Pelodiscus sinensis: one gene and its partners. The protein of the gene in region 3 interacts with the protein of the main gene of each other region in a pairwise test. Links are inferred from orthologs where the notes say so. Each region holds a gene or a part of one and is shown on either strand. Other genes may lie near its edges.

Region 1 (7,667 bases), on a different chromosome or scaffold from region 3:
CCCAGTCCCATGTAGCTGATTTGGGCTCAGCTGCCCCAGCCGTGGGGCCAGTGGAATCTGGTCTCCACCCAGACCGTTAGGGCTGGTCCTACCTTTTTCTGTGCGGTGACAGCTGCCAGACTCATCAGGAGAAGAGCGGTGAAAAGCAGGACAGTCTTCATGGTAAAGCTCAGTGACTGAGATGCTACTTGTGCAAGGAAGCGTCGTCTTCTGCCTGCCCTAGCACACAAGCAGAAGCTCTAAGTGTGCCTGTAGCAGAGCATCTGCCAATCAAACCTTGCAAGCTCCCTGCCACGCCTAGACACTGCTAGCACTTGGGCGGCTGTTCAGCATGGCTTTGCTGACACTATGCTCATCATACCACTGATCACCCCCTCCCCCCCCATCCAGCCCCTACCCCAACACAACAGCAAACCAGACAGCTGCACTGGTAAAACCACAGCCTCTCTGTATGGGCAATTCTCCAACCCCGACCGAAACGAGCCAGGGGTTTTGATGCCAGGGGGCTGAGGCGGACAGATTGTAAACTGCACATCTGGACTGGCGGTTAATGGAGTTGGTTCCTGGGGAGGTGGTGATGCTGTGTATGGGGGGGAGGATTGTGAGGGGTTGTGGCATCACAACGGGCTTGGGTTGACTCTCTTGAAGCTGCCGGAAGGGGTTGCAGGAGAGTTTGGCAGCTGGGGTGGGAGTTCTGCAAGGACCCCCGATCACAGGCCAGCTTGTCAGTCTTCTCGTCTCCCTCCATTCCAGGAAGTGCTTGGTCCCCAAAGCACAGGGCCACCTGGGGCTCACACCCTGGAGAGGACGGGGTGGATCTGTACTTTGCCTTGGTTCCCCCGCTCCCGTGCTCAAGTTTTTCTAGAAACCTCCAAACAATCGTAATCGGAGTTTTCACCGAAAGCCATAAAGCAGCCTGGGCTCACTGGGATGTGTGCAAACTTGAGCCAAACTTTCTGCTCTCTTGGCCTGCATGCTGGGTTTGGTAACAAGCCCTCTTCTTCTGCAACAGAAAACTAGAAATAGATTCAACTGCAAAATTCCGATCTAGCTGGCAAGTCCACAACGCTCAGAGGTTCTTTGATCAGGGCCGAGGCCCCTCTCTCTTCAAAACTTTTACAGCTCTACTTTGAAGCCAGCTGATGGTGACAAGCATTTCCTAACTCCCGAATGTGGACAGTTGTACTGAGAAACGGATGCTAGCAAGATGCTAGATTAGATTAGATATCGCACAGTAACATTTCCTTGTAACCTTCAGCGGCAACTACGCAAATCCAGTGAGCTTCCCTGGAGTTTTCACCCGTTTTATACTCCCTTGACTTCAGTGAAGTTACTCCCGATTCACACCGGTGTCAGTAGAATTAGGCCAGCCTCTTCTGTGCCTTTTTAAGGCAGCTTGAAAAAAGCAATTGGCCAAAATATTCCAGACGCAGGGATAAAATAGGCCCATTTATGTGGGATTTCTTTGTGCGTATGAAACATATCAGTGTCTGGAAAGAGAAAGGAGTAAAAGGCAACATCTGAAAGAAACAGAAATGGGAGACTTTGCTGTAGCTATTTTAGATCTCCTTTTTTGGCTAATTTCAGTAAGCAGAAGTGTAGAGATGAAAGTCTGTTGGGGACAGTTCTCAGCCCATGAGAGGCGCGAGTGTGGTAATCTAAAGCTCTTAGCACAAAATCAGCAGGTCAAGTAGGTAAGATTCCTAGCTATTGTCAATCGGCATGGCACCATCGACAGAGCTTGGCCCAATAAAAGATGGGCGAGAAGGGTTCCCCAGAAACAGCATGATGACGACCCAACAGCCACCTTGGATATTTAAAAATCTTTTGTTGATAGAGTTTTTGTAAATGGTACAGCGGATCCGAGAAAACAGGAAGAAAGAAGTGGTCAGAAAAACAAAGTGAGAGAAGGGAAGGAACCATGAAATGACAACTAGAAAGTCTGTTTGCAGCTGAGCGTGGGAGTGCAAAAGTGTTGACAACACCCGGCATAATCAGTTCACAAAGCTGAACACAGCCGTGGGATTTTAAGTTCATCTGTTCTCCACAGGCACGAGTCTGGCGACGCTGCTTACTGGAATGCAGAGCGCCTCATGGAGCAATGTGACTCCAGGTGCTGAGGCTTTAAAATCCCAAAACCATGAGCCTCCCAAGTACACTGCAAGGGCGAGCCAGCCTGAACCCTGCGGTTCGAGTACAGGCCTAGCCCAGAGGGGAGCTGGGCTCTGCCGTGTGCCATTTCCTGGGGCAAGTCGCTTCCCCTCTCAGTGCCCGACTATAGAGGGGGGACTGTTGTTTCCCTGCCACTGTGTGTCGGGATGGGGACACACTGGCCCCATTAACAAGGGGGTTATGCCTCATCCATCCTCTTATATCCCATCGGGGGATCCCTCAGGGACTGCTCCTTTAATGGGAGGCGGGGTTAAGGCCTCCTAGCACTTGATCTGTCCCCAGAGGCCAGGGATTCCCTCAGGCTTCATCCCTTTAGGCAGATATAATAATATGTAGTGGGGGGAGGGGCAGTGGATGGGTAGGTGCAATGGGCTCTTTGGGGAAGGCAGCTAGTGGGACACATGCAGTGGGGGGGCAGTAATATGGGGGGGCAGTTGGAGGGAGAAGTGATCCCAGTGGAGGTGAATGTGGAGATCGGGGGGGCAGTGGTGGGAAGAAGGGGTGCCAGAGCTGGGGGCTGCACGCATGGGGTCCTTGCTTCAGGGACTGTCACCGTCTGTTCAGTAACTCACACCCCCTTTGCATTTTATACAGAGCCAGTAGCAAGGCAGGTGGATGGTTTTCCGCTGATGTGCAGCACTGGTTTTGCATGGGAAGTTGCGCCTAGTTGTAACCAGGGCAACCGCTGCAGACAAGATGGTGGAGCATAGAGCCCAAGAGACCCTTCCAAACGTGGGGATATGTCTGGGGCTGAGAGAGAGGAGGAATCGCTCTTTTGTTGGTCTGGAAGTATGTGCATTAGGGAAATGCACAACAGAGGGACTCCTCTCCTGGGGAACAAGGCAACACAAGCTGGAGCAGTGGAAGAACCTTCTCTCGTCTTGCATGCCTCCCCTCTGCGCAGGCTTGGCAGAATTTGATTTGTATTTTTTGTATAATTTGGACAAATATCAAATTTATTTGAAAGTATCTTTCCATATTAGCCTCATTAGCACCGGCACTACAATTGACAGGTACTCCCCCCTTTTTCTGTTATACATTTTGAGAGTCCTCCCTTTTCTCTCCACTCGGCAACCCCCGAGACTTTGACTCTATTTCAGTGTTCATGGTTGTGGAAAATGGTTGGGGGCTGTTCAGACCAAGAATTTAATTACTGTTGACATTGAGTAGAACAGTCATTAAAACTCACATTGTCCACATCATGCCAGACTATTCAAAGTCAACCTTCCGAAGGCAAAGAATAAGTTCTCGGGCAGTAGGGGGACAGAGTTATCCTTCTTGCCAGGCATGTCTGTGGAGCAGTTACTGATGTCTGTTACTGATGATGTTTACCAATGATGCTTACCGATGGCAGTTACCAATGGAGGTTACCGATGGCGGTTACTGATGATAGTTACCATTGTCGATTACCAATGGCAGTTACCAATGACGGTTACCAATGTCGGTTACCAATGGCAGTTACCAATGTCGGTTACCAATGGCAGTTACTGGTGGCAGTTACCAATGTCGGTTACCGATGACAATTACCGATGTCGGTTACTGATGTCGGTTACCAATGACAGTTACCGATGGCGGTTACCGATGACGGTTACCGATGTTGGTTACCGATGACAGTTACTGATGGCAGTTACCGATGTCGGTTACCGATGACAGTTACCGATGGTGGTTACCGATGACAGTTACCGATGACGGTTACCGATGACAGTTACCGATGGCGGTTACCGATGGCGGTTACCGATGGCGGTTACTGATGGCAGTTACCGATGTCTGTTACCAATGACAGTTACCGATGTCGGTTACCGATGGCAGTTACCAATGTTGGTTACTGATGACAGTTACGATGGCAGTTACCGATGTCGGTTACCGATGGCGGTTACCGATGGCAGTTACTGATGGCAGTTACCGATGTCTGTTACCGATGACAGTTACCGATGTCGGTTACCGATGGCGGTTACCGATGGCGGTTACCGATGACAGTTACCGATGGCAGTTACCGATGTCGGTTACCGATGGCGGTTACCGATGACGGTTACCGATGGCGGTTACCGATGGCGGTTACCGATGGCGGTTACCGATGTCGGTTACCGATGGCAGTTACCGATGTCGGTTACCGATGTCGGTTACCGATGGCAGTTACCGATGATTTGGGGCTCTGGGACGGCAGGAAGACCCCTGTGCAGAGCAGGCAGTGGCGCCTCGGGGCTATCGGCCGTGCCTGCCCTGCGAGTGCTGGGGGGGAGGGCTGAGCTGGGGGGGTTACCCCTCCCTCCCCCTTGGGGGTCCCCACAGCTACTGCCCGTTAGGGGGAGCCCCGAGCCCCGCCTTGTCCCACCAAGGGCCCGGGAAGGTCGGGGGGGCGGATGGGGAAAGGTCAGAGAGAGAGAGAGAGAGAGAGAGAGAGAAAACCGAGCGCGTTGCATGCTGGGACTGGTAGTCTTTTCAGAAGGGGTCGAGCCACGTGACCTTAAACGAGCCAATCAGCTCGCCCGGCCGTCACCGGGGCAACCGCGGCAAACAAAATGGCGTCGCCTGGGTCGAGCCCGCCGGGGGGAGGGTGAGTCCGTTACTAGCCCGAGGCGGGCTGCGGCGCGTCCCTCCCGCCCGTGGGGGCAGCGAGCCACAGACCCCCCCGGCCGGGCCCGTCGGCTTGCGCCGTGAGGCCTTGTGACGTCACTGCGGGGTGCCGGGGGGTCACCGCTGTGCCTGGGGAGTACCTGGGGGGGGTCACTGCCTTGCATGGGGGTGCCTGGGGGGGTCACCACTGTGCTGGGGAGTACCTGGGGGGGTCACTGCCTTGCATGGGGAGTACCTGGGGGGGTCACCACTGTGCTGGGGAGTACCTGGGGGGGGTCACTGCCTTGCATGGGGGTACCTGGGGGGGGGGTCACTGCCTTGCATGGGGGGTACCTGAGGGGGTCACTGCCTTGCATGGGGGTACCTGGGGGGTCACTGCCTTGCATGGGGGTACCTGGGGGGGTCACTGCCTTGCATGGGGGTGCCTGGGGGGTCACTGCCTTGCATGGGGGTACCTGGGGGGGTCACTGCCTTGCATGGGGGGTACCTGAGGGGGTCACTGCCTTGCATGGGGGGCATTGTGGGGGTCACTGCTGTGCCTGGGGTGCTTTTGGCTGTCGCTGTGTTTCCAGGCTGGGGCGGGGATGTCAGCGCAGGGCGGCGGGAGGCCTCCTGTCGCACTGTGGGCGTTTGCGATGTCATTGCGCTTGCGTGCCGGAGTGGGGTGATGTCGTAGGGTGATGGCAGAAGGTCGTGAGTTTGTCCCGCCAGAGCAGCCCGAGGGAAGCGGCAGACTTTGTCTGAGGGCCGTGGGACCCGTCCTCGTTTTCTGTATTTTCAGTGACAGACTAACCCCCTGAGACTTTCTGGCATGAAATGGTGCAGACTGTGGTCACCCTCCTTTTTCCCCTGGAGGCTGCCGCCTGTGTGGAGACCACAGGGCCCAGAATGAAATACCTGAGCGTTGTTTCTATGGGCCTGTCTACTCAGCAGAGACAAACCTGCTGCTAGCCCATGCCATCTGACTTGGGCTCCTGGGGCTCGGGCTGTGGGGCTGTTTCATGGCTGAGAAGATTTCTGGGCTTGGGCTGCAGGACCCTGCATGGTGGGAGGATCCCAGAGCTTTGGCTCCAGCCTCAGCTCCGAAGTCTACCCAGCCAAGCCTCATGAGCTCTGTATGACATGCTAAACTCCTTGGTCTGCTCAACCACCCTGCTCTGAAGGAAACCGCTAAGTGTGTGGTGATAAAATACACCCTGGAGCCGTCTGCTTTTCAACGTGCCCCTCAGTCTTCTCTCCCAAGGCACTTCACTCTGTGTCATCCCGCCGCCTGGCATTGTAACACTGTCTTTGTTCCCTAGGATCTAGAGCTGTCTAAGGTATAACCATGAGTTCTCCTCTTTCCTCCCTGGGAAAGCACCGCAGAGTCCCACTGCAGCTACAGAGTCCAGGGTAAATGAGACATGAGGGCTCTTTCTGCTTTAAGATTTGTGGCCACCCTTGCTTAGTTGTGCAGTTTTGATCCCAGCTGCTTTTGTCCTCACGCTATACGAGGGTTCTTCTTTGGTCTTGATCTTTCAATATTCTGGGTCCCATTGAAGTAAGTACAAGGTAACGACAGTCAGTACCACTCTGGAGTCACTCCGCACCTTGCAGAATTGAGCCCTAAAATCCAGAATTGTGCCATCCTGATTCCAGCTGTGAGCCCTGATTCCACGGTGAGGCCCTAAGTGATCCAGAGCAGTCTCTGCAGTTACGATAGCAAGAATTACCCGGGGCTCTTGGTTCTATGGCCTTGAGGCACAAGCTGGTCCCCAGTTGAGGCCAGAAAGACTATTGCACAATTCTGCGTAGCAACAGTTGGCCGAGTTTGTTGTTTGTCTTCTTTTCACTTTTTCCTTATATGAAGTAGCTTCCAGTGATCTTAATTACTGTTAAGCAACTCCAAATATGTTGTTTGTGTGTGAGCTCACTCATCACAGACAGCAAAGTGGGGGCTTGTTTGATTTATCTGTGTGGTGAACTGGGGAGAAAGTAGAGGTGGATGTATTTCAAGATTATTTTTTATGTAATTTACAAGTCTCTGATACCTAAAACCAATTATGCAGCAGCTAATTAATCGGTCTGCTGTTTGTTTTCTGTATTCCCTATTCTTACATGCAGGAAAAGGACTCTCTCGTTTAAACTGAGTGCCCACAATGGTAAGTAAGGCCTCTCTCTTTCCTTTATGTGTTTTGCATTTAAGTGTTATGTGCTTAGTTCTTTTCTTGTCCTTGATTTCTCTCTCCTTCCCGCATGTGTCAGAAATCAGCTTAGTAAGAGCTAGTTTTCCCAATCCCAGGATTTGTTAGAACATGCAGACTCTCTCAAATGCTTTACAATTCCAAAGCTAGCTGCTTCCCTCATTCTTCCCACACTTGGCACACCAATCCCTCTCATTAACGTTAACAAAATTACAAGTAACATAAATAAGATTTTTAAAATCAATATGATATGAGAGAGAACTAGAACAGTTTTGTCTTTGAAAAACATTAAGCTTTCTAGTTCTCTCTTTTTGCACCGCTGTCTTGTGGCTTTGCTACATGGACTCTGGATGGGTTTGCAAGGCCACAAACACTAATCCTGGCTGCCGTCTCTTTTTTTCTGAAACAAATTCAGTTCCACTGCTCTCCCCTCTCACCCCCAGCAAAAGCTGCTGGAACCTAGCGCCATGGTCTCTGTCTCCCAGTACAGTTTTGTGTTTGATCTTTGTCTGTTTAGAGTGGACCCTCCTCACAGCGTGGACTGTATTATCTTTTGAGTACTGTACTCTCTCTCTATGCTTCGTAATCATCGCTTTGGAAGTCTTTGGGTGGACGAATGGGACCATGTCACACTTCGTACCCCACCCTCTCCTTCCCTAAAGATACATCCCTGCCAATGTTCTCTCTAATCTTTTCCACCCCTGTGCGGGATACTTTTTATGTGAACCAAGGCCTAGG
Region 2 (7,725 bases), on a different chromosome or scaffold from region 3:
TTTTTCAATGCGCTTTGGCAGTGTGGGTGCTCTTTTTCAGAAGAAATTTTTTCACATGATCTCTTCTGGAAACGCTTCTTCCAAAAGAAGCCTCCAGTCTAGACATAGCCAGAATCTCCCAAATCCCTTCCCCATCAGTTCTGGGTTTATATTCCCTGCCTCTCAGCTGTGTTCTGTGGAGGCCATGCCATTCTTGACATTTGTACTGTCTGAACTCTGAGAAAAGAAGCAGGGATTTTTACAGGTCTCTCTGGTTCTGTGGGACATTTAGTGCCAGTATGGTTGTAGAGGCAAGTATCATTGTATGATCCTCACTTTCATTTCCTTTTATATTACTGATTATGCCTTTTCACAAAGGCCTTATTACAAGAATCATAACACCGTACCTTCCATGATCTTCTCTCCTTCATGTCAGTAAGAGGTGCTGCAATGGTGGCAAAGTTTGGCCTTAATCACCCTGTGTTACCTTACCAATCCCAGGAACTGTCTAATGTGCTTCAGGTGATAAAAAGTGCCTCCCTATTCTGCCTGTCCTTGAGTAAATAGATTTGTGTTTTTCTCCTTTTCCTGGAGTATCATATCTCATAATCTATGGGGCCCAGCTGGCACAGTACCTCAAAAATCCCTTGTCATTGTGCTAGTAGTGTGGTTGGGAGCTCACCAATATTAGCTAATAGTCTAAATCCGGAGAACACCAGTGCTATCACCTCCTTTCCTTTCCCCCCCTCTACTTGGACCACTTTCTTAATGGGCCCTTCTTGCATGACCTAACCTCTGCAGTCCATGCTTCCCCCAGTCACATTACATGCAGGGACAAACAGTCTCTCCAGCAAAGCCCAAAGCAGAAGTGCATCCTCCAGTGCTCTCTCCAACATCTGCACTATTGGGTGGGAAGCCCAAAGCACTCAGATAGGTTCATAGATGTCTGAAGCATGTATTCACCATTGTCTGTCCCAAATTTTCCTGCAAATAATAAGGCATTGAGACAGTGCATTGTGTGATGCAGGCCAGTCTTATGCAGCGTCCAGTTATGTACCTGTAGATCTGCATATACAAAATAGAGACTGCAGTGAAACCTCTTTCAAATTCAGGAACTTGATTTGTACTCCAATGGAGGGGTTTTTTTTCCAGTCACCACGTGATAAGAATGTGAGCACAGAAGAAATTTCCTAAGTGTTGGTGTTTATAAAGTAATTGCACATATGTAATTAATTAAGAGTGGTCTGGATAATCACTGCAAGAAGGCGAAGTCAGAAACAGTTAAATATAAGATTGGCAGCTCACTAAAAAAGCACTCAAAACAAATGTTCAATGAAAGTTAGACATTTCTCCTTGCTTCCTTTTTTAATTTTCATCTTTGTCTAACCTGTAAAATAGAGTGATGAAGAAAAATCCACTGACCCCCCAAGCTGTCCCTTATCTTTACATCCTCAGATGTTTGCACACACACGATCCATAAGAGTCCAAACTGAGAGAAAACAAAACTTCTCAGAGGCAGTGAGCCTTGCTCTTTTTATAAACCCTCTTACTGTCGATTAAGTACTATGCCCATCTCCAACTCAACTGAGCATGGAAACAAGGTATATATGCTGGCAAAGGGGCATGTATACACTTCTGCTCAGCTAAGACAGGCATACCCTGATTTTGGGTCTGGTACAGAACCAGCCTATGTGTCTTGAGTACTTCCTTCTTTCAGCAAAGTAGTGGAGAGGGGACATTTTTGTGACTCCACCTCCTTGCTGGCCAGACTAGGTGTCCATGAATGTTCAGAGAAGGGAGGAAAAGAATACAAACTACGCCATTTCAAAGGTGTCTGTAATTTATCTGATTTCCCTTCTTGCTCCTCAGTCCTCTCTCCCTTTCAGAACAAGAGAAGTGGGGTTCATTTCTGCCTCAGTGCTAGTCAGTCCTGGGATAGAGCACCTTATGTATCACTCCCTGTGCTGGGCTATGCCTAAAGCATCATCTAGTCCCTAAGGGCACATCTACACTAGGAAATTATTTTGAAATAACTTCTGAAATAACTAGTTTGAAATAGCATGTCCACACTATAGGGAAACCTCAAAATTAGTCGGAGGCAGGCTCCCTTCATGTGGACACGCTATCTCGACTTAGAGCTCCAGGAAGGACTGGGGAGTAATTCTTTTGAATGACTCTGGGGAGTAGTTATTTCAAAATAGCAGCAGTGGAGCATCCACACTACCACTATTTTGAAATAACTGTTTCAAAAAAAGGACTATTCCTCGTGGAAAGCAGGAGTTGTTATTTCGAAATAACCAGCCCCTTATTTTGAAATAACAGGCTTGGTAATGTGGATGCTCTGCTTGTTATTTTGAAATAAGGGGAGTTCATTCAAAATAACTCCATAGTGTAGACTACGGCTAATTAATCATGAGATCTCAGAGAAATAGGAAAGTTTGCCAGAGATGTGTTACTGCTGGCTAAGCCATCACACACCAACCTTTGCCTCAAAACAAGAAACATTAGCTGACCTTTTAAAATGATAAACTTCTCTCTATGTTTAATCAGCAGCTGAAACATGAAGATATCTAGAAACTAATAAGCTCTTCTCTAATTTACACTAGAGTATTTAATTTTTCACATTCTAGCATGGTTAGGCATCATTTCAGTTTTTATTCATTAAGATGCTTAGAGTATTGGAATCATACCAGCCCTCATGGCAAGACAGCAAAACGACAGCACTTTCTTCAATCAATTGTTAATTGTGAGCTGCACATAAAATTGTCCTGTGCAATGGTTACATTAGAACATCAGTAAGATTATTCCCTCATCTATGAATCATCTAGATCATTCAGGGTTCTTTTAAAGAACTCTCTCATCAGATTCCTCTGAATGGTGATGCAGAGCTGGCATTTTGATACAGAGCTTAAGACTTGCTTTGCACAATTCTTCAGTTTCAGAAGGGAAATTTTAGTTTTCAATTCCTAGTTAAATGGCAGACTGTGGAATCACTCTACTGCCCACACACTCAAACAATGGATATTAGCAGCAGCAGCAGACATTAGTTAATGTGGGTAAAGTATATAGTAACATCTTTAATGGATACTAGGGGGCTGCGCCCCCTGCTCGCTATATTCATCTAGCCCCCCCCTCTCTCTGTCTGGTTTTGCTTTGCTGAGAGCGCCTGTTGATGCTGATGACAGATGATGTCATTCTGTCCCCTGACAGGAAAAACTTTGAGAGAGAGAGAGAGAGAGAGAGAGATGATAATCTAGAGGGTTTTTCTTAATTATATTATTTATCTTCAGATCGTATAAATCTTTCACCTTTTACTTTGGCAAAGTCCCATTGGACCAAATTCTGTTCTCAGATAGCTCTACATCAATATGGAAGGATTTCACGGACTTGACTGAGCAGAATTTTACTGCGGTGCTCAATGGAAATTATCTGAGGAAGGGCTCAGGACCTCAGGATCTGTCACAAGAATGCTACTGTGGTGATTAGGTGCACTTACATAGCGCTGTTCATCAGAGTATTCAAAGTGCACTGCTTTTGAGATGTAGCTGTTGCCAGATTCACTTTACTGTAACAGCAGAAATAAGCAAGATTGTCCTTTACATCATTGTTCCAGTTCTATTTAGATATCCCCTTTGCAGGGTTATACAGGTGCAGCAATTACATGCTGTTTTGAATATGTATCCCACTACGTATAGAGAAGCCTATAAAACACAAGCTGATGGGTAGTTCTTAAGTACTCAATTATGAACAGTGGAAAGTAGGATATCCTGTACATGTTGTCATTTGCCATGAGATATATTGTAAGCTATATAAACATTCTTGGTTGTTAAATATGAATAGTAATTACGTGAACAAAAATCACAGTCTTTGTTTCCATGCCAAGAATATTAGGCTGCATTAGCAGATATTTAAGGCATGCAGGAGAACAATCCGGACTCAGCTTGTAGGGCCAAAGTCTATAGTTCTTACTCAGATATTACTCAGGAAAAACTCCCATTGACTTTCATAGGAATTTACCTGAATAAGGACTAGAATACTGGGAAATAGCTTGTCTTCACTGCACTGCTTGATGTTAATGTCGGGCAGCGATAAATGGTTGTATAGGAGTTCCTGTTGATGATGTACCTACCTGTTGTCCTTTTGTTGCCTCTGAATCTACTTCTGCTGAGTGTTAATCATGGCTTATGTTGCTTGTTCAGGTTTATTCTCTTTTATGTTTTCCATTTTCACCAAACATGGTACAGCTATTTTTCTTCTGTGGTTGGACACACACAGTACATAGAATGCAGAACTTGAATTTCAGCCCAGTTTTAATTAAAACTATTAAACATACTACTGCCACAATGCACAAAAGTTGGCTCATTTGATATGAAATGTTAATCTGTAATTTGATGTCAAAGTGTGCAACTATAATGATCTAATTACTGAGCAGGTGCTGCTCTAGTGAAGTCAATGGAGATGCACCCATTTAGACCCAGGATGAGTTTGGGCCTACAAATCTTTGTGACCTACAACAGGTCTCACGTAAAATAACCAACAAAGATGTGGGTTGAAACAACATCTTGTGTGTAGATTTAGAATTGCTTTAAGGTAATATAGTTTGAATTTCATTATATTACTTAAATATTCAAATTATGACATAACCTGCTTGTAAGCAGGTTAGCTAGCTAGGTTTCCATGTAGATGCCTTATGAGCCATACCTAGCCATGGTTTATCCTCTATTCATGCTGCAGGGTACGAAATTCCTGGGTGCCAACTTGCCTATGGCAACCTAGAATTCTCCAGGGCAGGCTCGCAAAATCTTCACCTACCCTCTGGGACAGGTAATTAAAAAGTGATGTTTTGTTAAGTTATGTTTTCTTTCCAACTTTCCAAGTGATGTCAGTAACTTGTGCCTTTTCTTCATGTCAGCCTTTAGTTGCTTACACCCCAACTGTACAATATTTCTACATCAGGGAAATAGCTGCAAGATCATTTGACATTATTTTAGGTGATTGTCTCATGGCAGCCTGTAGTAATTACTACCAGTGTGTATAAAAGCTGCAATATTTTCAGATTCTTCCCTACTGTTAGGTTAGGTCTACACTACAGTCCTTTGTCAGAAAAAGCTATACAAATTGCGCACCACAATTTGCGTAACTTTTTCCGATTGCTTTTCCGGAAGAGGCTTTTCTGTATTTGGCCCAGTCTAGATGGGGACAAATGGCAGAAAAGCCTCCTCTTTCGGTGGAGCTCTTATCCCTCATAACGAGGTATACAGGGCTCCCCCAAAGAGCACATTTGATCTTCCACACAAAAAAAAAAAAAAGCGGAAGAGCAAATGCATTCCTTGGATGCAGCGGAGTTTTTCCTAGATACCGATGGTATCCCGGAAAAACCCTGCAGTGTAGTCATAGCCTCAATTAATAGCTTTTATTTTAGTGTGATTATGACAAATACATACAAATTTCATCCATTATTGATGCAACAGTAATATGACCAGATTACATTTTTAAATTGCCAATATTTACATATTTCTAGATCTGGTTTTTTGTGTGTTCTTTTACTCTTTGGTCTCCATGAGTCAGGTTCTCTCAAAGCAACAGATGCATAGATGATTAAAAGATATACTGGGGACAGACTTGCATGGAGCAGTCATGAATAATTTTAGCTTGATGCTTCTACGTAGAACATAGTCTAAAGTAAACTAAACTAATGATGTTTTCCATTTTTTCCCCATGCTTGTCTCTCATTTTCTCCTACTATCTTCATGGATTTCTCCTTTGTTCCTTTTGCTGGTATCCACCTAAAAGTTGCAGGTACCTAGAAGTAATACTGTTCACTCCTAAAAAATTTTAACTGGGACAAATATTCAAAGTGGAAAATTCATAAGACAACAAAATAATGGAAGCTTTCTTCAGAGAAATGTTGTGGTTTCCCACACTTACCAAGCTCTTAGTGCAAGAAAAAATATATCTAGGATTCTTCATATACTTCTTGGCATATCATATATGATAGGGTTTAATGAAGATGGGGGAATAACCATTTAATAAATGGACTTCTATGTTTGGTGAATATGTCAAATACTGGGGAAATGGCTTAAATTACATCACTGCAGAGGACTTCTAATTTTACCATGGTCCAAATATGAGAATAACTTTGCTTCAGGGCATCTCTGCTTCCTGTCCTGGCTAATGCAGACAGACTCTCTGTGCAGGAGCTTGCTGTACAGTATTTTTCACACCCACTGATAAATAGGGCTTCATGGGTTTGCCTGAGCATCTGCTGCCAGATGTTAGCCCTTCTGGAACTGTATGGCAATCCACAGCTTGCTAGCCTGCTTATGGACAGCTATTGACCAGTTCCTTGGTACAAATTCTGGTGAGAAGGAGAGTAGGTTTCCTGCCCCACCTTTTCTTCAGTGTATCTACACAGGAGAAGACAGAATGTAACCCTATTCTGAAAAGCCAATAGAGCTGAGTGTGTAGAATAAACCACCCACTGCTCAACTAATAAGTCATGGATTAGAACTGGGAGAACAGTTTTGAACTGATTTCACAATATGCTGAGCAATGTCAGACTTGCTAGAGGTGTACTCATTTAGATTCTTGCAGAATAGGAAACTTGTCAGTTTGCAAGACCTAAAATAGCACAGTGCAGTATATAAAACAGGGAGGTGAGGTTCAAAATAATGAGCTCATGATGACAGTACGTATCTGATTTGCCATAATAGCAAGTTGATCACCTAGCTGAAAATCATTTGCAAATGTCAGCAAACTGAAGATTCTTTTAAATACTCAGCCACACACATTTCATTCAGGTAACATTGGGGCCATTTCTGCACTCAAGTAAGCTTTTACTACTCCCATTCAACTCAATGAGTATAAAGTATATGTACCTGAGAGCCGCATTAGTTCCTGGGGAATCTGAATTACGTTTACAGGGCATAGATTGTTCAGGCTGAATAGTGTTTTTTAACTCACACTTTCGAGCTTTGGTGTTCTTAGTGTCTACAGACTGGGGATATTTATTATTGTGCTTCCAGAAACCTGGCCCAAAAGTCCCTGTTACTCACCTTCTTTCTCTCAGCATACTGTTTGGGTTATAGAACACAACCATTGGGGCTACATTGAGACTGCATCCCTCTATCGACAGAGAGATGTAGTTTAGGCACATTGAAATTGCTAATGAAGCAGGGATTTAAATATCCCGCACCTCATAAAAGAAACCTTCAATGTTTATGCTAAAACAGTTTTTTTGAAAAAAAGTGGCAGTCTAGACACGAATCTGTTGAAAATAAAGCCTTTTTTGACGCATCCTGTAAACCTCATCTTTTTGAGGAATACAGGATCTGTCGAAAAAGGCTTTATTTTCAACAGATTCGTGTCTAGACTGCCGGGGGGAGGGGGTTCAAAAAAAACCTCTGTTTCGAAACAACCCGGCGGCAATGTTTATACTAATGAGGTGCGGGATATTTAAATCCCTGCTTCATTAGCAATTTCGGTGTGCCTAATCTACATCTCTCTGTCAAAAGAGAGGTATAGTCTAGACACACCCTGGATGACAGAAATTGTAGAATGGTACATAACAGTTCTGGAGCAATTGCCAGTAGATTTTCAATATTTACCAATAGTTATCACCCAAGGCATCTAAAATGTCATGCTATTTCCCAATCTAGGCAACAGCCGTATTATCTCTGATCCCATTCTACAGTAACTGTTGGAAGATGTTTACTTTCTAAAGGTTAGCCCTGTATATTCATATTT
Region 3 (7,606 bases):
CGACGGTGGCAGCCGGGCCCCAGGCAGCCTCCCGGTGCGCTCCAGCAGCCCTTCCCCCCGCCAGTGCCCTGCGAGCCATTGGTTCCCCCGCGTTTCCCTCTGCCCCATCGCCACGGTCCCCTCAGGCTCGCTCGGCACGGTCCCCGGGACCGTCGCGTCCCCTTCCTCCTCAATGGGGCCCCGCTGGTTTCATGCCTGCAGGCTTCATAGGCTCCAGAAACCGGACACTGCGGGGCTTCCCCCAGGCAACCGGCAGGTGTCCGACCTGGCACCTTCCCCCCTGCAGCCTGTCCAGCCTGGCACCTTCTCCTGCAGTCGGCGGGCATCTGGCCTGGTGCCTTCTCCTGCAGCCAGCGGGCATCTAGCCTGGCACCTTCCCCCCCTGCAGCCCATCCAGCCTGGCACATTTCCCTGGAGCCGGTGGGCATCCGACCTGGCACCTTCCTCCCCTGCAGCCCATCCAGCCTGGCACATTTCCCTGCAGCCAGTGGGCATCCGACCTGGCACCTTCCTCCCCTGCAGCCCATCCAGCCTGGCACATTTCCCTGCAGCCGGTGGGCATCCGACCTGGCACCTTCCTCCCCTGCAGCCCATCCAGCCTGGCACATTTCCCTGCAGCCGGTGGGCATCCGACCTGGCACCTTCCCCCCCTGCAGCCCGTCCAGCCTGGCACATTTCCCTGCAGCCGGTGGGCATCCGACCTGGCACCTTCCCTCCTGCTGCCCGTCTGGCCTGGCACCTTCCTACCTGCAGCCGGTGGGCGTTGTGCATGACTGCGGCTACCGTGGAAGCGCCCCAGGCCAGAACTGCCGTGTTCGGTCAGACACCCATGCCTGCCCCTTTCTGGCTGTGAATTGCCCAGCGGCCTGTGCCCGGGCCCAGCCGTCAGGGCTCCAGGGTCGCTCCCCCAAGGAGGGTGGAGAGAGCAGAAGGGGCCTGCCAGCCTCCCCCCGTGGGGCAGAGCAGCTAGTGGGAATGGCTCTAAGAGCCCCAGGAACCAAGCAGGGATTTGGTGGGTGAGGGGAACGAGGGCGCAGCCTCTGCTGTGCTGGGGGTAGGAAGGAGCCAGGCAGCTAGTGTGTGTCTGCCCCGCTCCCTTCAAATCAGCAATGGGGCCGTCTGCTTCCCCTCCCCCTGCCTCCCTGCAACACCAAGCGGGGGGGGGGGGGGGGGGCGGAGGGGGGGAGAGCTGCACTTTGCATCTTCTGGGCACCAGCTCCTTCAGCCTCCCAATGCCCAAGTGAGGGGCTTGAAGTAATTAATATAAAACAATTAAGAGGCTGCTTGTTGCCTTTAGCAGCGCGGAGACCCAGGGAGGAGCCAGCGGCTGGTTCGTGTTCCCGACGCCGTTTCTCTGCTGGTCTCCCAGAACTTCAGCAAGGTACGTTGGGTTTGGTCCCGAGGCATGCTGGGAACTCACCTGGCCTCCAGCTAGTGAAGCACTTACCCCCTAACGAGTGGCCCAGGGGTCAGCGGTGCTGCCTGCAGGCAGATAGCGAACCCTCCACCCCAGTGCTTTGCCAGAGCGCTTGATCCCTCGCCCACGTGAGCCCTGTTCCACCGCTGGGGAAACCGAGGCACGGCGTGGCGCTGGACCACGACAAAGGCCACGTGGCGAGTCTGGGGCATGGTCTGGAATGGGGTCCTCGGGGCCAGTGCTCTGTGGCCCACACCTGGGGTCATTTTCCGCGGTGCCTCGGCCTCCTCCCTCCCCGTGCATTGACACCACGGCCCTGAGGCTGTGTTGGAGCTGGACCGCGCTGTTCCCTGTTTTACCTCCTACCTCTGATTCCCGGGCACCCCGCACAATGGGCCGCGGACAGAGAGAGCCCACAGCTGCAGGGTGTTGGGTATTGTGCCAGGGGATGCCTGTCCCAGAGCACCAGCCTGGCCTCCGCGGGCTAGCGGGGAGTTGGCCTGCCCCAGGTGGATTCCACACGCTGGCTGGAGCAGCAACGGGACTCAGGGTGACCTCCCGGGCTGGGGAGGAACCTCAGTTGGAGGGAGGGTCACTTCCCTGCAGGGGCAATGGAGCCCGGCTCCCAGGACAGCTTTCCTCCCGCCCCGAGCACACATTTGGGGGGAAATTTTCAGCCCAAGCTTTGGTTCAATTTCGACCCCTACAATTGTACAAATAATTGTGCAAATAATCCCCTGGACAAAACACTGAGCCAGCAGTGCAGGGGCAGCGTTGAGACCAAGGAAGGGGTGATGTGTGGGCCCGGCCGGGTACTCAGCGGCCCTGGGGACATTAGGGGGCAAGGCGAGGCCAGCTTTGGAGCAGCCGGCCCTTACAAGAATCAGGGCCTGGCATGGGGCTGGGGGGGGCAGCGTGACACGGAGCTGGTGGCGGGTGGCTCAGAATTGGGGGGGCACAGAACTCCCTGGGGGGGAGCGTGACACAGAATTGGGGGGGCGGAGCATGGAACGATCTGGGCGACTGTGACGTGCAACGGGGGGGATATGGCAATGGGAGGGGTCACGCCCGGCCCACTCTCGCCGGATCGGCCCATGCCGGGTGTCGGCGCGGCCGGCAGGGGGCGCTGCGGGAGCGGGCGAACTACAGCTCCCAGCAGCCCCCGCGGCCGGAAGCGTAGGTGACGCTGTTGCTAGGAGAAGCGGGGGCCGGGCCTTTAACCGCCGGAGAGCGCGAGCGGGTCAGTGCCGGGGGCGCTGTGTGGACCCCGCGCTGGGAGGGGCGGGGGGGGCCGCGCTGCGGGGGGCGGGGGAGCCGGGCTGTGGGGGGGGCGCGCTGTGAGGGGCGGGGGAGCCGGGCTGTGGGGGGGGCGCGCTGTGAGGGGCGGGGGGGCCGCGCTGTGGGGGGGGGCTGTGCTGTGAGGGGCGGGGGGGCCGCGCTGTGGGGGGGGGCTGTGCTGTGAGGGGCGGGGGGGGCCGCGCTGTGGGGGGGGGGGCGCTGTGAGGGGCGGGGGGGGCCGCGCTGTGGGGGGGGCTGTGCTGTGAGGGGCGGGGGGGCCGCGCTGTGGGGGGGGCTGTGCTGTGAGGGGCGGGGGGGGCCGCGCTGTGGGGGGTGGGCGCTGTGCTGGGAGGGGCGGGGGGGCCGCGCTGTGGGGGCGCTGTGCTGGGAGGGGCGGGGGGGCCGCGCTGTGGGGGGGGGGCTGTGCTGGGAGGGGCGGGGGGGCCGCGCTGTGGGGGGGGGGCTGTGCTGTGAGGGGCGGGGGGGGCCGCGCTGTGGGGGGGGGGCTGTGCTGTGAGGGGCGGGGGGGGCCGCGCTGTGGGGGGGCGCTGTGCTGGGAGGGGCGGGGGGGCCGCGCTGTGGGGGGGGGGGCTGTGCTGGGAGGGGCGGGGGGGCCGCGCTGTGGGGGGGGGGGGCTGTGCTGTGAGGGGCGGGGGGGCCGCGCTGTGGGGGGGGGGCTGTGCTGGGAGGGGCGGGGGGGGCCGCGCTGTGGGGGGGGCGCTGTGCTGTGAGGGGCGGGGGGGCCGCGCTGTGGGGGGGGCGCTGTGCTGTGAGGGGCGGGGGGGCCGCGCTGTGGGGGGGGCGCTGTGCTGGGAGGGGGCGGGGGGGCTGCGCTGTGGGGGGGCGCTGTGCTGGGAGGGGCGGGGGGGCCGCGCTGTGGGGGGGGGGCGCTGTGCTGTGAGGGGCGGGGGGGGCCGCGCTGTGGGGGGGGGCTGCGCTGTGGGGGGGGCTGTGCTGGGAGGGGCGGGGGGGCCGCGCTGTGGGGGGGGGGCTGTGCTGGGAGGGGCGGGGGGGCCGCGCTGTGGGGGGGCGCTGTGCTGGGAGGGGCGGGGGGGCCGCTTGGACACCGAAAGGGGTGGGAGAGGGCCCCCTGGCAGGGGCCCCACCTCTCCTAATTGCTTATCCTCCCTAGGCTCCACGCTCATCCCCCTTCCCTGAGCTGCTTTCTGACGGCCTGGGGCCTGCTCCTGCTTTCCATGAAGCTGGGGAAATTTCTGCCCCTGAGGTGGATGGGTGCAGGCTTGGCTTCCTGTGCGATACAGTGCCCTCCCCGCTGGCTCTGAAGCTGCCCTGCCTCTCCCAGGGGGAGGGCTAATGCCAGCAGCCCCACATGGGCCCTTCTCTCTGATCTGCTGCCAGCCCATCCCGCGCTCCAGGTGGGGAAGTCACCCGGCCTCCTTTGGAAGCCTGGTTGCGCGGCTAGGCCAGGCAGCAAATACTCCATGTGCTCTAACCCTGCGGCAAGAGAATAGAAAGGGGAAGCTTGGCTAGTCTGCGGTGGGTCTTTGAGTTCCCTCGGGAGCCGGCTGCTGCTATCACAGCCCTCCGATTGCTTTGACACTCCCTCCAAAGTCCACGGCTGTGTCTAGACTGCACCCCTTTTGCGGAAAAGGGATGCAGATTAGACACAGTGCAATTGCAAATGAAGCAGTGATTTAAATCTCCCCCGCTTCATTTGCATGAACATGGCTGCCGCTTTTTTCCAGCTCGGGGCTTTGCTGGCAAAAAGCGCCAGTCTAGACGGGGATCTTTCGGAAAATAAAGCCTTTTCCAAAAGATCCCTTATCCCTGATTTATCCCTGGGTGTGTTTTTCTAGGGATTAGCTTGGTCGAGAGACCTTGCTGGGAGGGGCAGGACTGCCAGTCCGACCCCACAGGCCAAGGGTTAGAAAGTTCATCTTGCAGAACTGGACCAGGATGCCAGAGTAGGAGCATCCACAGCTGGGGCTGCTCTAGAACAGCTCTGTAACTGTCCCTGCATTTATCCCCTCTGCAGTAGCCCCTAGTGGGGGGGCGATAATTAGCTGTCTGCTAATGGTTCTCATTCTCTCAAGAGCCATACTGCTGACAGGCAGGCTTAGGCGGATTAGCCGTTCGCGTCATAGACCCTCCCATCCCTGCTCCATATCAATAATTCATCAGCTTGTAAGTGGAATCAAGGGCTCTGTTTCTCCCTGGTGCGCTGCTGTGATCTCCCTGTACATCACACCCCAGTGGGGCTGAGATGCGGGAGAAAAAGATCTTCCCGCTGGATGGACGGACGGACGGACGGCCTGTCTGTCCCAATGGCTGAGCTGTCCAAACGCTGCAGGTCAGGGACCCTGTGGACCTGCAGCTCTCCTGATGTCTCAGGGGGTTGATGCTGCTCCACTTGCCCAATTTATTGTGATTTTTGGAGTAGGGAGTGAGTCTCTGGGGCAAGAGCGTGTGAGCCCAGCAGGGAGACGGGTGAGGGGAGATGCTATAAGCACAGCCATGTTGGCTCAGACCAATGGTCTCTCTACCCAGTGTCCCATTGTCCAACAGTGGCCAATACCAGGTGCGTCAGAGGGAAAGAACAGAACTAGATCAGTTGACTGAGTGACCCGTCCTGTTGCCTGCTCCTAGCTCGGCAGGTACTGCAGCAAACGGGGGCGCTCGGGGGCAGAGGGGCAGCCCTGGTCATGGAGGCCTGCAGCTTGATCCATGTCTAGACGGATGGGATCCCTTGGCCTGCAGGGTGACAATGTTCTCTCTAGCGGGATGTCGCCCCAGCGAAGAGCACTGGCCCCGACGTATTTAAAATCTTCACCGTGGCTGGGGAACGGTTCCCCAGAAAACACTATCTGGTTTCTGTCCCCCATGGCAGCTGCAGAGCCTGGCCGAGATGTCTGAGGGGCCTTCCAGGATCTCGGGGCCCATCCCTCCCGACCCCACACTCTTCCCGGACTATTACAAACGCCCCCTGTCAGGTGAGAGCCAGCGATGCATGGATGGGGTCCTGCATAATCGTGGGTGGCTAGTGCAGGTGAAGGCCTTCCCTTCCCTAGCCTCTGTTGGCTGCACAGTTCCTGGATCTGTGGAGGGGCAGCTCTCCCCCAAAGGGTGTGGAATGGCCCTGCAGAGACACTCGGCTCCTTTGAGGCCCTGAGCGCTCTCAGCTCCCATCGCCTCCAGTGCCAGGAGAGGCTGATGTGAGGAGTAGGAAGTGGGGGGATGTCAATATCTGTTAAACATCCCTCTATCCAGGGTGGGGGCACCGGGGGGGGAGCAAAGGGGAGGTGCCGCATGCCTTGACTCGTGCTGTCTCTCTCTAGCTCGAGGGAGGCTGGAAGGAAATGCCTTGAAGCTCGACTTCCTCTCTGGCCCGCTGGCCCCCGATCCCAGCCTGTATCCCACGTGTTACAGTGCCCGCCCTCCCCCACGTATCCGCCCCAATGGCCAGGACATCCTGGAGAAGGGGCAGATGGGGACAGTCGGGATCTTGCTGAAGCTGGAGGGGGTCTCTCTCCACAGGGAGCCGCCCCTGAAAAGTAGGTGCAATTGAGCAGGTGGGGCTGACGGGCAGGATAGAATGAAGGCTTGAACTGGTGCAGAGGCAAGGGTTTAGGATGGGGATTTGTGTGGGGCCTCACCCTGACTCCGGCCTGGCGTATGGAAAACGTGGGAGTGAGCCTGTGGAACTCCCTGCCATATGATGGAGGCCAAGAGCCAGGTAGATCCCAGGTGGTTTTCCTGGTACGTGGCTAATGGGAACAGCTCTGGGGAGTGCCTGGGATAGGCAGAGAACTTGAGAACTGCCCAGGGGAAGGTTAAAGGGTGACTTGGTTGCAGTCTCTAGTTACCTACATGGGAACAAATGGGCTTGTCAGTGTAGCAGGAAATCCAGTGGCTGGAAGATGAAGCCAGAGGGAGTTGGGGAGGAAGGTATAAATTTGTCCCCAGGGAGAGTAATTAGCCTTTGGAACAACCACCCGAGGGTAGAATCCACCACGGGTGAGTCTTAACTCAAAGGTGGCTGTTTTCGAGCAGCTGCTCTTGGAGTTACTCCAGCAAAGCCAGTGTCTTGGTGTGCTAACAAGGGGCTCTGGGGGTAGGGATCCGGCTGGCACACAGGGAGGGGATCCGCTTGCTGCTGTTTGCAGTGAAGGGAGCCGCTTCGCTGAGAGAGGCCCTGGTCATGGTGCCAAGGGGCTCAGCAGGGCCTGCTGGTGAAAGCCGTGTCTCGCCGGGGCGTGCAGGGCGCGAGTGCAAGGACCACGAGAAGGAGAATGTGAGGCGGATGCGGGAGATCCAGAGGAGGTGCAAGGAGAAGGAGCTGGCGCGGGAGCACAGCCAGCCCAAACCCATGAAGGCCCTGTGGAAATCCCAGAAGTATGAGAATGTGGAGTCCAAGGTGAAGGCCAAACTGCAGTACCTGCACACAGCGGCATCACAAAAAGACTAGAGAGAATTCCTTTGTCTCGGGGGCATTCTAGTCCCTGCCGCGGCCGGCTGCAGCGTGAAGCCGGGCCTGGCTGGGGCCACTCGACACACTGTGTGTGATGTGCTAAATGCACCGGCACGCCCATGGATTCCTCTCTCGTGCTACAGTGTCGCTCCATTGAACGCAGTGGAGATTTCCCCAGGCAGGGTCGTGTCTCCCCTGCCAGCTGAGTTCCCTGCCTGACTCCTGCCTGGAGGAGACGTTCCCCGCACGTGCAGCGGTAGAGTCTGGGGTCGCCCCTCGGCCCTGGAGCTCCTGCTATGTGGTTTGCCTTTCGCAGGAGAGCTCTCCCCCGCCCAACCCAGAGTCTCAGAACTTCCTGAGGGCATATTCCCGCTGCGGCTCCGGGGTCCAGCCGCGCCGGTCGCTGTCGCCCAGCCCTGCCATGTCCAGAGCAGTGCCAGACGCAGCAGCTGCAGGAGTGCAGGGCGCAGACGCCAAGGTGA
Region 4 (7,923 bases), on a different chromosome or scaffold from region 3:
CAAGGAGCCAGGCTTTTGGCCTGCAGTGAATATCACCAACACGGAGGAGTGGTTAAAGTCAATGTGATATTTCTTCTCTTTTTAGCATGATTTTAGAAGACAAGTTTAAGAGGAAACTAGATTTTTTAAGAGAAACAGTTACATTAGAAGACAAAGGCACCAAAGCTTAATTGAGTAATTGTGAATAAAAAAGTGTATAATAGTGAACATTGTAGTCACCCAATAGAAAGAAAAGAACTGATGACTGGAGATACTTGGGCTATGTCTACACTGCCCAGTCTTGCGCAAGAACTTGTGCAAGAGCGTGTCCACACTGCCATGTGCTTTTGCGGAAGAGTTGTGCTTTTGTGCAGGAGCATCCATGGCAGTGTGGACGCTGTCTTGTGCAAGAAAGCTCTGATGGCCATTTTAGCCATAGGGCTGTTTTGTGCAAGAAACCCCTGTTGACCGACCACATTGCCTTCTTGCGCAACAGCTCTTTTTTTTATTTGGAGTGATTCTTTGGATGTATAATTTAATAAATATATTTAAAGTAAAAAGTATAATATTTAATAAAAAATTAGCTGTGTCATATGGTGGGGAGATGAAGACTTTAAATTTTGTGAGGTGCCGTGAAACTGGAAAATGCTTTACAGAATTAATGCCTTCATAGAGTTAAAGAATTAGTAACTAAAGAAAAAAATTCAGAGTTACTAGAAATAAAAATATATTTTGCGTTAGAATTAAAGTGTTTCCACCTGCAAACCACGGATTCCCTGTGTGCCTCTCACACACTGGGGCACTGGAGTTCTGCACTTCCCGCTCCTTCCTCTCCCCCTCCCTCCCAGCACTTTCAGAGCACTGCTGTTCAAGCTCTGGGAGGGATGGAGGAGGAGCAGGGTCGGAGCGCAAGTCAGCAGATTCATGGCATTCCAAAAGTGCTGGGAGTGCAGTGGTAGGAGCAGGTAAGTGCAGAGCTGCAGTGCACAAGAGGGACATGGAGGAAGGGGACAGAGTGGGATGTTCACTGACATGGAGGGCCATTCATGCAGCCCACTTACTAATCGTGGTTGCCCATTGCTAGTCTACACTAAAAGTGGCCACAGCACGAGCGCTGAGAGAAATCAGCCCAGGCTCGTATGTAAATCACCTCCACGATGCTCCCAGTGCTATATTCTGGTTCACACTGGCTCTTCACAGTGCTGTAACTTGCTGTGCTTGGAGGTATTTTTTCACACCCCTGAGCCAGAAAATTACAGCACTGTAAAGTGCAATGTAGACTTAGCCTTGGATTTACAAAGGGAACATGAAGAGAAATCAAGTTGGACTATTAAAGTTATCAGAAACCACAATTCATCTAATTTTACCATTTCAGTCTGTTTCTGAGACAAAAAAGCAGGCTCTTTCTAAGCAAAAAAGCAATAATTTTAGACAAGTGACATTTTAAAGAAGATACTTTAGTTGACTGCAAGTAATTATTGTCTGAATTTCTTAGATAAAGAATTTTTCCTCCAGTTGCAGGTCTTTCTGAGAATTTGCCACATCACTCCCAGATGTGTTTTGTTACTTGGAAAATGAGTAGCCAATGCATTATTACTCGGAAGCATAGACCTCAAAACATTTTGTTGTTAGATATTTTCACCAAGCTACAGTACAATTCTGATAAGTTCTTTTGCTGAGCCTCTCTTGTGATAAAGTATTATCAACAAGTTCTGCTGACTGAGAAGATATTCCAGCGCTGTAAGAAAATTTAGCTGTTAATTGCTTACGGCAAAGAATGCAAAACCTGTGATGGTCACTGCACAGTGTATGAACATGTAGAGTATTAATTAAATGTAAAAAAAATGAATTGCTATATGTTGAGATTGTAATTGTACCAAAAAAATCAGGAAATTCAAAATTATTGTTCCACAGCAAACACAGCTTGTTCCCCTTGCACATATCAGGAAACAAATAGTAACTTGAATTGTTTAATATATGTATGTAAAAACTATGAGTAATCATTGTGGTGGGAATCTAGAGTAAATTCCCCTAAGACAATAAACTCTGAATGTGCTGACCTTCAAGTAATTAAAATCTCAACATTGTTTCATTAACATTTACATTAGTTCCCTTGGTTTTGCTCAGTAAGAACATTGCTTGATAAATACCATAAGATCATCAAGCCACCAGTTTTTTAGGTTGTCAAAAACTACTTGAGCATCATTGGTTCTCCATAGATGGAGAATCAGCTATTCAGTATCCCCTTTGATAGCAATGCATACATTGACCAGACATCCTGTTTTTAAAGGTGCAATCCCATATTTAAGTCCTGCAAGTGTCCCAACTTTTTCTTAAAAATGGACACATTATCCTGTATTTTCAGTATCCCACCACCAACAATACTGGCAGCTCCTGCTACTGGCTGGATCCCTGCTTGCCAGCTGCCTGACCATCAGTGAAGTCCAGTGCCTAAGATGGGAGTGGGTGTGCAAGGCAGTGTGGGATAAAGATGCAGCATGGCTGCTCCCCCTGCTGGTCCATCAGCATAGTTCACGCAGAATGTCAGATGTCTGCCAGCAGGGCTCTGTCCCACTTCCTGTCCCATTTCCAGCTGGTACTGGTGGTGAGCTGCTGTGGTTGTGTGCAAGCAGGTACCAGGCAGCAGCTGGTTATGTGTTGCTGCTGCTGCCCACCAACTGGCCTTTTCCAAGTTTCCCCTTTCACTGTTCTCTGCTTTGCCTGCTTTCTCCTGATACTCTTCCATATCTGCAACAGGCGCCATTGCAACAAAACAGGAATTTGTGTATGTCTAAAGAATAAAGTTAAGCTTTAAAATAGCCAAGATGTACATAATTAACACTGAAATGTGTCTGTTGTGGATGCATGTCATCATACCATTCTCTTATGTAAAACATTACTGCTTTAGGAAACCATAAAGTTGATCTACAATTTTAAAATAAAAACAAATCACTGTCACTTTATTACTAGGTAACATGTACCCCAAACACCAATGGTTAAACACTCCTTCAGGTTATTTTCTTTTATAGCATATAGCTTTTCTCGTTTAGCATCTCAAAATACTTCTAAAATGTGTGTGTGTGTGTGTGTGTATACACATATACACACACACACACACATTTATATAATGTATATTTTTATTTATAAACATTTATATAATAAATATAAATAAATAATACTGATCTTCTCAAAATACTAATGGCTGCACCCCCCTAGGCAGATTTCCCAAAGCATTACAAGATTTTATCCTGTGTTCTCATGAACCTTTTCCTCTACTGCTCTTCCTAACACTACATATCTGTTCACCTGGATCTCAGAAGCCTCTTTAAAAGAACTAGCTCAGTAATATTCACATATAGTTTATTTGATCATTTTCTCTGTGAGGGGTTTAGAGTGACCATATTTCTCAAAGTGAAAATGGGATACCACATGGGGCTGATCCACGTCATTTGCCTAAGCCTCTCCTGCCACCATGTGAGGCTGGCCTAAGCTCAAATCCCTTCTCTCCCCACACCTGCCCTTTCTGCTGCCAGAGTGACTTGCCTAAGCCAACTGGTGTGACTGCTAACATGAGCCCATTGTACATGGCTAGTGTCTTCCCTTGCTCTGAATTAGGAGAAGCCTACTCCAATTTTTTGGCAGAACTCAGCATCTGTCCTGTTTGACCTTGCCAACTTATGAGCTGGCAAGATTAAACTGAACAAACGGGGGCCAACAGACATGCTGAGGCCTGGGGCAAGGTGGGGGTGCAGCTCCATGCCCCCAGAAGGGATGTGGCCTCAGGTGCAAGGGACAGGGCTGGGAGCAGCTGGCCTTCAACATAGCCTATGGATCTAGTGCAGTGCACTCCACGCTATGTCTACACTGGCGGGTTGTTCCGCAAGAACATTTTGTGAAGACTTCCTGTGCAAGAAATCTTGAGAAGAACACGTCCACACGGCCATGTGCTTTTGCGCAAGAGATTTGCTTTTGCGCAAGAGCATCCATAGCTGTGTGGACGGTTTCTTGTGCAAGAAAGCTCTGATGGCCATTTTAGCCACATTGCCTTCCTGCACAAGACCTCCTGCGCAAGAAGGCTTACGCCTGTCAGAAAAGAGCGTAGCTGTTATGCAAGAAGCCCTCTCTAACCATGCTGTACTGTAAATCTTGCGAAAGAGCTGGCGGGCAGTGTGGATGCTCTGCGGAAGAACAGCCGTTCTTGCGCACAAGAATCCACCAGTGTAGAAATAGCCAGAGTGATTTAAACAGCCTGGGGCTCCAGCTGCTGTTGCTCCTGTGGTAGTGGCAGTGGTGGCCAAGCGTCCCAAAGCCCAGCAATTCTAAAAACCCTGGGACAATTGCCTCTTTTGCCCCGTCAGCAAGCCTGAAGACAAGTGCCCATTTTTGAAAAAAAAAAAAAAAAAAAAGTCAGAACAGCTAGGCCAGGGCTTACAAAGGGCCTGATACCAAATTATTAGTTGCCTTAGTGATACCATTAGTCAGTGAATAATCACCACTACACGTTCATTATTCAACTAACTTTATTCTTGAAAACAGCTTACGTCAGGGCCCCCATTCTATCCTTTCAGAAACAAGTACAGCAGTCGCTCCCCCTCTCCCTCATTGGAAAAAACACATCAGATTCTTCAAGTCAAAGCAAACCACACCAGCAACACAACAACAAACACAGGGCAGACAAGCACAGGAACTGTTCTCCTCCCCCAAAAGCCTTAGTGTGCTCCAGCCTATTAGCCAACTCCCACGCCTTTGCATCCCTTCCCCCTAAGTTCCCCACCACAGCGCGTCCCAAAGCAGCAAGTCAGTAGCAATCACCCAAATTCCCCCGCTAGAAGCGTCCACCGAAAGCTCCAACCCCCCCCGCTTCGTCGCTCGCTTCGGTGACCAGCTGATCAAATCCCGCCCAGTGTCTAGCTCCGCCTCCCACCCCCGGCTGTGCTGTTTGCTCCTCCTGACCTGCGGGAGCTCGCCTTTGCGCGCTCCCGTGGGCTGTGTGTTTCCTCCCCATCGGTGTCGCCAGGGCGCGCCCGCTGCCCTTGCCCGCCTGCGCTCGGGGCTTTGTTTGTCGGGCCGGGCTGACGGCGCGGGCCGGCGGCAGAGGGGGGCTGTGGGCACGCGCAGAGCAGTGTCTCCTCTTTGGGGTGCGTGGCACAAGCCGTAGGAGGAGGACACAGGTAATTGGCTCCCAGGAGCATTTCACCAGGCAGCTTAATCTGGGGGGCCTGGCGCTGCGTGTGTAGGATTCTTGGAGTTGCTGTGCTGGAGTTAGGATTTGCTCACACGTTGCCTGTGGGGAGACCCTGGGCTGGGCTCCAGTGGGGCATGTGTCTGTTGGATTGTGTGCTGCGAGCAGACCAGGGGGCTGTGTTCACTGCGTCCTGTGCTCAGCAGGACCACGCTCACACACGAGAGGGCTGCACGTGCGCTGTCTTTCCAACAACTCTCTGCCTCTGCTTCCCTGCCCTGCCTTGCCCAGTGCGTTACAGAATTCTGTTTGGGCTGTGGGCACGGGTGGGCCAAGTCAACTGTTTCATAGTGCGCCCGTCACAAAAGATTACTGCTGTCCTTATTAGAGGTAAAGGATATGTGGGCTGTAGCAACTGACCTACTCTCTAACCTCTGGAGGTACTCAGTCCTCCTAGCCGCTTGTGAGGAAACCTGTGTTGTGTCGATTCTGTCCCTGTGAATGCAGGATATCAGTCCCCAGGCGTCTTAATCCAGCCTTCAGATCACCTATATATACAGAGAGAGAGTGGAACCAAAAAAAAGTGACTTGAAGTGTGACATGGTTGTGGAGAGACATTCCAGAAAGTACTAGCTTCATTGGTTAGATATTGGAGGCTCAGAGAGAAGGTCCTTATTCTGAGTATTATGTAACAATTTGCAGGGAGTAGGAGGATGTAAAAGAGCCCTGTGTGCTTATATACCGTCTTTATCTTGATTAGAAGAGATCACTCTGATTCCAAAGGGCCATTAAACTATTCTTCCAGGAGTGAGCTAGATCTGGAAGTAACTCTGGGGCTGGGAGGGTACTGGGACTGGTCAATACAGAATGCGTGAAGTTCCACTGCACCTATATTTTGCAAACTTGCCAGTATATTTTGTAATTTGCGTATAATACTAGTCTCTCCCCACTTTACACAAGAGCATTGTGGGATAGGCCTGTATTACTAAATCTTCATAACTTATACCGCTGTGGTCTCATTCATATTTTATGAAGTTTTAAAATTCAAAATTAAACTAAACCCTAATTGCCAAACCAAGCAATACATTCTGTGATAGTGAGTAACATTAAAAAAAATAAATTTAGTAATGCAGTTCATGCAGATTAGTGAGGTTACACTGAAAGCAAGAAGTGACACACTTTAAGCTCAGGGACAATGATATTGACACTAACAGTCATCACTACTAGTATAGGGACCAGCACTGACTTCACTCTGACAGTCACCCTGGCAGCTGGAAGAGGCAAGCTGTCAAATATACTGGAGAGAGGAGGAGTTAAGTAAGATGTAAATAGAGATCTATAATTTACAGATGGAAAAGGCCTAAAATAATCGGGTATGCAACCCATCTCCTGGCCAACACATGAGTGATTACTATTTTGTATATATTTCTAGTGCTGTGTCTAGTTTAGCTGAAAATGTGTAAGTAATGGGACCACGCTAATAGATCTCACTGCAGAGAAATTTTCCTTGATAAGTCAGACTGAATTTTACCTTTCTAAATTTAATCTGCTATTACTCCCAGCTATCATGCTATATTCTTTCCATGAGTTCTTCTCCGTGCCTGTTTTTTTTTTTTTTAGACCAATCATGTAACTATTTAAAATTACTGCGTCTCAACATAAGATGTGGTGCTGTGAAATTCTGAAATGCATCGTTCAGTGAAGTCTGTGCCAAGCACCATCCATGATTATGCCTTTAATTGTTACTTAGACAATGTATATTTTTAGTTTTCATAAATCCAGAGTTTATAATTTTTATTGCTTTTGCTTGATTTGTTTATTGCTCTTGCCTTCTGCTGCAGGAGGTTGGGAATTTAAATATTTGTCTCAACTGTTACCCATAATTTTATGTAGTCAAATGCATTTGAGTTATATCCCCAGCTCCAGCAGCTCAGAATCACCAGGCTAGGCTGTTCTTGTAGTATTGTATGTGGGTAGGAATCAGTTACATTTGTGGACAAATGACAGCAGTAAAATATATTTCATGGGATCAACCAAAAATACAAAAGCATAGCACATAACACATTAGCTCAAACCTCTGAAGTCTGTGCTGGGGCTTCCTTTCACTTGTGTGGGTTAGCAAACATTTTAAACTCTAAAACCATGGTACGTTCACGTCTTGAATACTGCGTACAAATGTGGTTGCCTCATTTTAAAAAGATGTATTGGCATTGGAAATGGTTCAGAAAAGGGCAACAAAAATGATAAGGAGTTTGGAATGGGTCCCATATGAAGAGAGCTTAAAAAGGCTTGGACTTTTCATCTTAGAAAGAGGAGATTGGGGGGGATATAATAGAGGTCTATAAAATCATGACCGGAATGGAAAAAGTGAATAAGGAAAATTATTTACTTGTTCCCATAACATGAAGTTTTTCTTCATTTAGCACACAGTCAGCCTGTGGAACTCCTTGACAGAGGATGTTGTGACGATCAGGACTTTAACAGGGTTCAAAAACTAGATACGTTCATGGAGGTTAGGTCCATCAATGGCTATTAGCCAGGATGGGTAGGAATGGTGTCTCTAGCCTCTGTTAGTCAGAGACTGGAATGGATGACAGGAGAGCAATTGTGATGATTTCCTTTTGTGTTCATTTCCTTTGGGGCATCTGGCATTGGCTACTGCTGGAAGACAGGATAGTGGGCTTGATGGACCTTTAGTCTGACCAGGTATGGCCATTCTTATGTTCTCATGTTAAAATTAATTTGAAAAATTGATTCTAGAT

Evidence for each region.
Region 1: the proteins of ENKD1 (region 3) and UBXN11 interact in binary tests that used the Homo sapiens proteins (3 or more experiments, as listed by UniProt). The two-hybrid records come from large-scale screens. The link is inferred for Pelodiscus sinensis from reciprocal best matches to the Homo sapiens genes ENKD1 and UBXN11.
Region 2: the proteins of ENKD1 (region 3) and BEGAIN interact in binary tests that used the Homo sapiens proteins (3 or more experiments, as listed by UniProt). The two-hybrid records come from large-scale screens. The link is inferred for Pelodiscus sinensis from reciprocal best matches to the Homo sapiens genes ENKD1 and BEGAIN.
Region 4: the proteins of ENKD1 (region 3) and MIPOL1 interact in binary tests that used the Homo sapiens proteins (3 or more experiments, as listed by UniProt). The two-hybrid records come from large-scale screens. The link is inferred for Pelodiscus sinensis from reciprocal best matches to the Homo sapiens genes ENKD1 and MIPOL1.

Annotation. Positions count from the first base shown.
Region 1 is NC_134735.1:1,833,179-1,840,845, reverse strand, and holds the start of UBXN11 (UBX domain-containing protein 11), read left to right. Parts: upstream 1-4,659; 5' UTR 4,660-4,691; coding exon of another isoform or gene 4,692-4,726; intron 4,727-6,047; 5' UTR 6,048-6,073; coding exon 6,074-6,138; intron 6,139-6,514; exon of another isoform or gene 6,515-6,726; intron 6,727-6,849; coding exon 6,850-6,887; intron 6,888-7,667. UniProt on the Homo sapiens protein: May be involved in the reorganization of actin cytoskeleton mediated by RND1, RND2 and RND3. Promotes RHOA activation mediated by GNA12 and GNA13.
Region 2 is NC_134714.1:23,664,541-23,672,265, forward strand, and holds the start of BEGAIN (brain-enriched guanylate kinase-associated protein), read left to right. Parts: upstream 1-4,717; 5' UTR 4,718-4,803; intron 4,804-7,725. UniProt on the Homo sapiens protein: May sustain the structure of the postsynaptic density (PSD).
Region 3 is NC_134722.1:46,626,271-46,633,876, reverse strand, and holds the start of ENKD1 (enkurin domain-containing protein 1), read left to right. Parts: upstream 1-4,598; 5' UTR 4,599-5,310; intron 5,311-5,543; 5' UTR 5,544-5,561; coding exon 5,562-5,646; intron 5,647-5,991; coding exon 5,992-6,207; intron 6,208-6,915; coding exon 6,916-7,088; intron 7,089-7,440; coding exon 7,441-7,602; intron 7,603-7,606. UniProt on the Homo sapiens protein: Microtubule-binding protein which regulates microtubule organization and stability. Promotes the stability of astral microtubules and facilitates the proper orientation of the mitotic spindle.
Region 4 is NC_134714.1:46,601,376-46,609,298, reverse strand, and holds the start of MIPOL1 (mirror-image polydactyly gene 1 protein), read left to right. Parts: upstream 1-4,912; 5' UTR 4,913-5,150; intron 5,151-7,833; 5' UTR 7,834-7,867; intron 7,868-7,923.